Linked DNA regions of Saccharomyces cerevisiae S288C. The protein of the gene in region 2 interacts with the protein of the main gene of each other region in a pairwise test. Each region holds a gene or a part of one and is shown on either strand. Other genes may lie near its edges.

Region 1 (4,350 bases), on a different chromosome or scaffold from region 2:
ACATTTTTCTTCTCAATAATATATAGTCTAGTTTTTGACTTCTTCGACAGTAAGATAATTAAACTGCTCCGTGAAGAGTTTTGAATTGGGAAAAACAATTGAACAAGGAACACTTATAGACCTGTTGTGATAAGAGATGACATAACTTTTATAATATGTCCTGCGGAGAATTCGATGAAATTTTGCAAATTGTAAGTTTGCTTGAAAGTTTGCTTGCGGGTAAGGTATTCTGAAAAAAATAAAATGATTCCACAATGGAAATGTGAAGATGTTGTAAACAAATCAAATGTACGGATGCACAATGGTAAACAGTACTGGATTTCTTTTTATATCACCGTTGAGCCGAAACAAACCCCGAAATAACCATTTAATATGCCAAGATGTACAAACCTCGTCTTTGCTTATTCAACTGCTACATTCGCAATACCTCAATAACGAGGTGCGTATATACATGAAGCAGAATTTTTTTTTACATATATATACTATTCATTAACTTGTAAGAAGACATTAATCACCGTTTCCTGAAGGGAAAAAAATACTAAATAGAATATGTCTTGCTCGTCATATCTCCATTTCACCTACAAATTCACCGGAACCTTCCATATTGACATCGTCGTCATCGTCTATGGCATTTTCAAATTGTTCCGCATTAGCAACGCCGCTAGCCTGTATTTCATCCTCATCTTCAAAATCTAAATCGAAGAAGTCATCATCACTGCCAACTATCTTTTCGTATAAAACTTTGGCTGCGGTGACTACTTCATCATACGATATCTCAGCAGAAGGCATGGTTGTATATATGACGCCATTATCACTCGCACCGGGAATATACTTTTTTTCCAAATCTTGATTTACATCAAAGAAGGAGGAGTTAACTACACCAAAGGGTGGCGTGGATGTGTATTGGGTATAATAAAGTTTAAATAAGAACTGTAATCTTTCCCTAGGAACATACTCCTTAAAAGATTGGCCTAACTTAACTGAATTTACTATTGTATGACCATTTCCCGTTAGTTGAACAATTTCTTCGTCGTTCTCTAAACCTGAAGACGATTCCCTTAGCAGGGCCATTTCCATAGCTTCTAGAGCGGCATCAATGTCCATTTCAGCACGTGGGCCTTGTTCTGTGGTCGATAAATACCATACAATAGTTCCTTCTGGACAAATTTCGCTGCCAGCACCGAGAATAAAGGCTTGTACTACTTCCTTATTACCAGATTTCAAAGAGCCAGGAGGGAAGACTACCATGGCGGCCGATTCACCCTCATTGAACCATTCAGTACAGGGGTTTTCAACTATACAGGTCAAACGATGAACCTGGTACTGTTGTTGAGGGACATGCTTACTGTCTTTAGGTGCTTGCGTAGGCGATATTATCACTTTCTCTGAAACTTCAACTTTGGATCCATCTTGGAATGTGGCCACTTTAGTTGTAGGGTTGAAGGATACCAATTTCTCATTGAGTTTGTAAGTAGCGCCACCTACAGCGGCAGATCTACAAAACCCTTGCGACAATTCTCCTGGCCCACCATACTTGGAGCATAGTGCAGGGAATGGTCCATAAACATCGAAACTAGTTAGATATCGACGAATCCTTTGTAAAGCTTCTGGTACTTTTACGTTGAGATCATAACATAACCCAATTGAGAAGATTAATTCGAAGACTTGTGGTTTTTCTAATTTAAACTTTTCCCCTAAAAAATCAGACATGGTCCTCTCCGCGTAGGGTTGCCATATTTCCGTTTGTGCTTCCCAGTTGAGTACGAATTTGATAAATTTCATTAAGTTCCTCTTTGTCATTAGTGGTAGGTTTTGATCCGTGAATATTTCTTGCTTTGTATTTGTTAGTTTTTCGAAACAATCATTTTCATAAGTATGGAAATTAGATAAAGATTGGAATTCTAAATACTGGTGAACTCTTGATTTGATTAAGATGGATAATAAATCAGATTTTGCAAATAGGATCTTCGGGGAAAGATCAATACCGAAATCTCTTGAAGAATATTTACCACTACCGATTAGCGTGGATACATACAACTTCGCATTTTTATAGCAACTTACTGAGCCTTCATTAACTTCATTTACCCATCTTTTGATTTGGTCTACAGTTAGTGTGGCTGAAGTGTCACCGTAATAATCATTCTTATCAATATGAAGGACATTGGAACCTTGCCAAGCTAATGCAGCAGCCAATACACTCTCTACCATACCAGTCCCTGCGATTAAAACATCAACTTTATCTGGTGTAGTGGCTGGCAAAGGGTCTTCAATACCGGCTAAATGCGGGACAACTAGAGGACTTGGATTTTGAGTAAAACTGAAAAATGATGGGCGGCGTTCTGCCATGGATGGTCTACGTTCAGGACTTAACATAACTTTTTTTCGGTCAATATTAGTCTTCCTTTTTTTATTTGTATTATAGAAACTGAAATGTTGCTGTTAAACCCTTAAAAAAACAGTAATAAATTAAACTTAAATGTTTATATCCGAAGGCAGTATCCTAGTGTCTTTTAGTTTATTATCGCAATGTGATAGTTTATCTTTCAATAATGATGGAACGGAATAAAAATTTTTCTTGTACTGATTGAATTTAGTTGCGAATTAACCGTACGCACAATCAGTGTATATTACTTCTGTAAAATCAAATGTGCAACAACTTTTGAATATATTTAATGACGGGAAAAGAACACGGGAAACGCTACTATTGTTGTATAGTGCGATATAGAACCTTTTTTTATCTTCTTCACTTGTTCTGTTTTCTTTTTTTTTTTTTTTTTTTTTTTCAAGTTCCACGAAAAAATTTTCTCGTTTTCCTTTAGTCACTCTTGTCACATAAGGATTATCCGAACCCCGCCCCGCGGAATTAATTAGTTGGCTAGATTCATGCTTGGTAGAATGAATTGTAAGACAGCTCCTCTCAAGTAAAGGCTCGAAATGTCTTCGCGACCGGCTACTACACCTCCTATTAAGGTCATGGTTCCTTTGACCAGTTCTATAGTACCTGCGACGGCCAATACTTGGTGGGGTGTGCCGACATGAGGATCCATAATGACAGATTCTTTAGTATCTCCATCATTTCGTATTAGCTTGCAACCTTGAAGGCATTGTGTATTTAAATCCACGACATTTATAACGCCACTTCCGAGTGGAACACCCGATATTACTTCTTCAGGAAGAGTTTCGTCCCGGTATATTCGGTCAACATCACCTTGTCGTAGACCCCCGATAAGCACAACCTTGTGGCCTACAGTTGTCATTGAGTGTCCTACCATACATAAGTTGATAGGTACCAAACCATCAGATTCCTCTTGTGTTTTGGCATAAAGGTCTATTTTAGTCCAGGTTTCGGAATCGAAGTCAAACCACCACATATCGCTGCAAACGTCATAGCCATCTGAACCTCCGTGGAACGCAATAGTTCTTCCGATTGATGCACATTTTTTTGATGGATTCAATGGTGGTGTATGTTTAGGGCTTGTGGGAGGACTGGATGTGGTATTCCTGGTAGACTTTGAAGAAGTGTCTTCACTAGTACTATTATTAGAATTGGAAATATGCATACTATCGCGACCACTCTTCTTCTCCTTCCTTGAATGTGGGATATTCGGAAAAAGTGGTTGAGAAGGCTTATTTCCTGGGCGTATTTCCAAATCGATGGAGAAGTCATTTTTCAAGTTCCTCAGTAATCTCGTTTCTATGGGTTCAACATCCTTGGTAAAATAATCTGGTACACAGCACGCTGAAAAGGCTCTTCTGCTCGGCCATAATTCTGGATCATCAATAATAGGGATCTTAGTAGCAGTTACAGTATCTGCAAATTTATAATAATTACGTTTCCCACGAGAAACTACAGGGATATTTATCTTCCACATGTCATTCATAGCTTCATACTTGTCGTCACCAGTCTGACTATACCCTCCAAAGATCAGAATGGTATTAACAGATGAGCAAATGTGTGTTGCTGTGCTACAATGTTTGGAAGAGAGACTATCTGTAGACCTTGGGTTTGTTACAGGTGGAATTGCATCATCCTCTAAATAGTCCGTACTTCCTGGTGAACCAACCAAATCATCTATTTTGTGATCCCCATTACCTTGGCGATATGGGCTTATCGACCTTCTTCCTTTCGCACTTGTTGTGGTATTTTCATTGGATACATTGTTGTTGGAATTACTTATTGATGCCTGCATGTGACCAAATCTTGGCGAGAAATTATTGTAAATTGCAAACTGGTACGGAGGAGCGACTAATTCAATCTTTGAGAAATTGAACGTCACTGTATCTAGAATGTAACCAGTATTGTTCAAAAAAGCTCTTTTTCTTATAAAATATCTTCCCTTATCATCAACT
Region 2 (4,329 bases):
TTCACTTACAAATACACAGAATTGCAGATAAAAAACGGAACCTTTTATTTAAGATTTAGAGCATGAATAAGAAGAATTAAAGTTTCTTTTCTTAGAATAAAAATAGTTTTTAATACATCAGAACAGAAGGAAGTAAGTAAAGCCAAAATATATATAGTAAAAACACAGTAGTAAAAAATGAATAGTAAAAAACACACAACAATAATACTAAAAGGAGAGACCAGACAGAGCGCAAATCGTTTTCATGACGGAGTATTTAGAGGAAATGATGACAAAACAAGAAAATGTTATTCTATTATAAGTTCATTTTTCAATAATAGATATGCTTTTTATTTTTTGAAATTAATGGTAACAGTCGAAGAGCACAGCTTTATCATGCATTTTCGTTCAAAGATGATCACATAAATTGCGCCCAACAACAAGAGAAAGAGCGGCCGCTCGATGCATGAGTCGGTAACGGTAGAATTAGTATCTAAATAGCATACTAAATCAATTCAGTAAAGAAACAATTATATCTTAGTGAGTGGAGTGGCCCCTGTGATATTTTAAACCGTTCAAGTTCTTATATCTCTTACCACAAACTTCACAACGGTATGGTTTATCCTTTGCAGAGCCCATTCCATCACCAAAAGAATCTGTCGAATCTGGATCTATTACGCTAAATGTACCGTCAGGGTTTTCATGTAATTTTTGATTCTGATGTCCGTGCAACCTATGGTACTTCAAACCGTTTTGGTTTTTATAAGTCTTTTCACAACCAATAACTGGACACTTAAAGGGTTTTTGTTCCTCATGATCCATTACATAGAGCCTTCTCGCAGGATCGTCTATATAAGCTTGCTGAGGCATCTTGTAATTGTTGTTATGAACTGATTTTCCATTGGAACTGGAGCCATTTTCTGTGTCATCGTCATCGTCATCGTCATCGTCATCATCAACATCATCGTCATCATCAATGTCATCAATGTCTTGATCCTCGACCATGTTTTGAGAAGATTTTGCGTGTACGGAAGAATGAAAAGTATTGTAGTTGTGAGAACCTGTAGTTGGATTTACGACAGAGTTCATGGAATTGTGGTTACTAGGGCCCAAAATATCATCATCCATAAAACTTAAATCTATATCTTGGACAAGTACCAGAGGTGATAAATCGGTTTGATGAGGATCAATTTTTCTTGATTGATGTTGAATAGGATTCCTGGACGTTTTGTTCAAGGAATAGTTATTAAAAGTATGTGGACGATTCACCATGGCGTTTTTACTACCCATGTTAATATTAGAATTGTGTGAGGTATTATTATTGATATTGATACCACTATTATTGTTACTGTTAATTTGTTTATTGTGCGGAACGTGTCTTGATGGAGAATTGCTCGTTCTTAAAAACACATCATTCGTTGAAACGGCATCGACTAGATTACCATTCAGATGTAGTTGTTGAGAGTGATTAGCCATAGATAAGCCCGAGTTGGGGGCACCCGTTATAGATATCACATTTGGATTTGCAGTTGTGGACGACGCAGTTGCTGAACCCATTACACTCGGTGTGGGTACAGCCCCTGATGTATGATTTACAGAATTCGATTGCAACTGTTGTTGTATTATATTCTGCTGATGGTGAGGATGCTGAGATTGTCGTATTGTGGAGTTGGAATCCATGTTGCTCTGAAGATTGGCATGCATATTATTAATGGAGGTGTTATTAGTTGCATTGCTGCTATGAGCCTGCATAGTATTAGTCTTATGACCTGCATTTTTTGTATTAGCGGCCATGTTATTCTGCAGGTTATAGTTGGCAGAAGAGGTATTATTTGTCATACGAACTGATGAACTAGTGTTACCAGCAGAGTTCATCGGTATTTGTGACATATTGGTAGTGTTAGGAGACGTGGATATATGAGCTTCTTCGTAATGTCTCAGCAAATCATGCAAACCTGGTAAGGAAAGACCACAGCATGAATAATCTTTACAATATTGCTTTTCTAGATTTGGCAGATAAGCAGTGTAGGCTATCTGAGGAGAAATAGAATACCCTCTATGGTAAGGCGGATTACTAACAGAGGGTCTCTTAGTTGGTTGTTGAATCTGCAAAGTATTAGTGGCAGTAGTGGTTGCAGAAGCGGCAGCGGAGGCAGCACCGTTTGCTGATGCAGGTACAATACTATTTCTACGGCTAATAATTTCATCTCTTAACCAAGAACCAACACTAATGGATCCCCATGAAACACCACCCATCCCTTGAGAATGGGCTATTGATTCTCTCCGTAACTTGGCAATGTCCTGTGGAGTTAGTAGCGTTTGGTCCATTATATTTGGAGAGTACAAATGAACATTATTTGTATTATTCATGATATTTTTTTGGTGAATATTATTGACGCCGTTAAAATCTGTGTTTTTTCCATTAGAAGAATCCGAATTGTTATTTATCAAAATGGAAGGAGTATTCTGGTTCGAATCAATATCAATATTAAAGTTTGATGACGAATTTATAGATGCATGTGCCGATGTAGCCGTCGTAGTAGTACTAGTAGCCATATTGCTTGCCATAGTCATTGTTGTAAAATCCATACTCAGATAAGCTTTTCCTGTTTCGAAGAAAAATAAAAATACTGAATATGAATATGTCTTTTAATAACAATAAATTTGAAAACGCCTTACAAGTGAAATCTTGAGGTGATTAATAGTAGGTGAATCCAGAGAAAGTGTTTCGAGGATATAATATGGTATCAGAAAGCCAAAAGACGACCGGTATATTATAAACTTAGTATGAATGTATCGTGGCGCTTTTTTCTCCTAGCTTTATTCTTCTTGCTTTCTCGCTCTAAATATGATATTGCGATAAAAGGAAGTAGTTTAACTCACCGTAAAATCGATCAATATTAGAAAAACAGAAAACCACCAGAGAGAAGCACCGATATGTAATTGAAGTAGAAAAAAAATCTAGCTTTCCTTCTCTTTATAAGCGAACTTAATGATTAGATTGACTAGCGCTATCCTTCTTTGATTGTAATATTTGTCAAACCTTGTTAACGGAGCCACTAGAATGTACAAGACGTTATATAGGGATGACAGGTAGAAAAGAGATAGGGCCTGGGAGGTAAAATGCGTACGTTAGCCTAGAGAGCTTTAAATCGGTGACGATGCGAAAGCAAATGATAATGGCAATAGCGGTGGCAGGCGACAGTGGCAAGTGACAATGGCTGATAGTGACGTTATTTGATACAAAATCGCCTTTTAACGAATGCATCGCCCATTTGTTCCAAATTTCAATTGATTCGAAATTGCTCCTTATTATGTAACTGACAAAATCCTGTCCCCTTGCACGACGTAGGCGCGTTTTGTTTCTTTTTCCTACCGCAGACCACCTTGCGCACGGGAACGCCGCACTGTTTGGCACCCAGTCACCGCCCGTACCGTCGTTCCACAGAACATGCCGCAGAAACCTGTCGGGTAATAGTACACGGGATGAAGAGACTTAATGCCGACAAGCCGGGTAGGGGAATTGTAGCTCCGAAAAGCGACGGAAAGTTCAATATACAGAAAGCCCGTGCACCATTTTTGAAAAGTTTCATAAGATCTAGTTAAAGTTATGAAGAATTTAGTTCGAATGTGTAGTGATGAGATGAGCAGTAATGAAACATTAATGAACTCAGAATAGGAAAAAAAGGCAACTTCTAAACATTATTGATGGAGCAAAACGCTGAAAAACGCTCTATTGTTGGCGACGACAACTCAACCGTGAAGAGACAAGACACTTCCCCGTCCAAAGGTATTGCACATATCAAACCAGAATATATTGTACCATTGAAGCAGAATGAAAACCAGAAGGTCGCCATCTATGATGAAGAGATGTCTTCCGACAGAATGACAAACGAGTTTGCAGGTGGGACTAATAAGAAAAATAAGAACGGAAGAGGTAAGAAGCGTGGGCAAAACAAGAATAGAGATAACAGGCAGGTCAAGGAACAGAATGTCTTGTGCCCACGCTTGATCCATGGCGATATATCTAAATGCTCCTTTGGTGATAACTGTAGGTTTGTTCACGATATCAATCTGTACCTTTCAACAAAAAAGCCTGAAGTTGAAAGTAATATATTTCCTTCCTGTCCGGTCTTCAACTCGTTGGGATTTTGCCCCATGGGATTCAAATGCAGATTTTTATCGTCTCATCTGAATAAAGAAGATAATATCCTAATATCGAAGAAGGAGATTGATCCAGATGCGCAAACAATATGGTCCGTTAAAGGTGAGGTAAACCATATCTCACCGGAAAGAAAACTCGATCTTATAAAAAGAAGATTTCCTTTCACAAAAAGTAATGAAATATTG

The links. The genes of interacting proteins can lie anywhere in the genome.
Region 1: the proteins of SFP1 (region 2) and MRS6 interact in binary tests that used the Saccharomyces cerevisiae proteins (3 or more experiments, as listed by UniProt).

Annotation. Positions count from the first base shown.
Region 1 is NC_001147.6:1,028,622-1,032,971, forward strand, and holds MRS6 (GTPase-activating protein MRS6), read right to left. Parts: upstream 2,374-4,350; coding exon 562-2,373; downstream 1-561. Other genes in the region: 40S ribosomal protein eS12 RPS12, read right to left, coding at 1-4; GPB1 (Gpb1p), read right to left, coding at 2,868-4,350. UniProt on the Saccharomyces cerevisiae protein: Substrate-binding subunit (component A) of the Rab geranylgeranyltransferase (GGTase) complex. Binds unprenylated Rab proteins and presents the substrate peptide to the catalytic component B.
Region 2 is NC_001144.5:923,807-928,135, reverse strand, and holds SFP1 (zinc-coordinating transcription factor SFP1), read right to left. Parts: upstream 2,569-4,329; coding exon 517-2,568; downstream 1-516. Other genes in the region: tRNA dihydrouridine synthase DUS3, read left to right, coding at 3,688-4,329. UniProt on the Saccharomyces cerevisiae protein: Transcription factor that regulates ribosomal protein (RP) and ribosome biogenesis (Ribi) gene expression in response to nutrients and stress. Promotes RP gene expression under optimal growth conditions.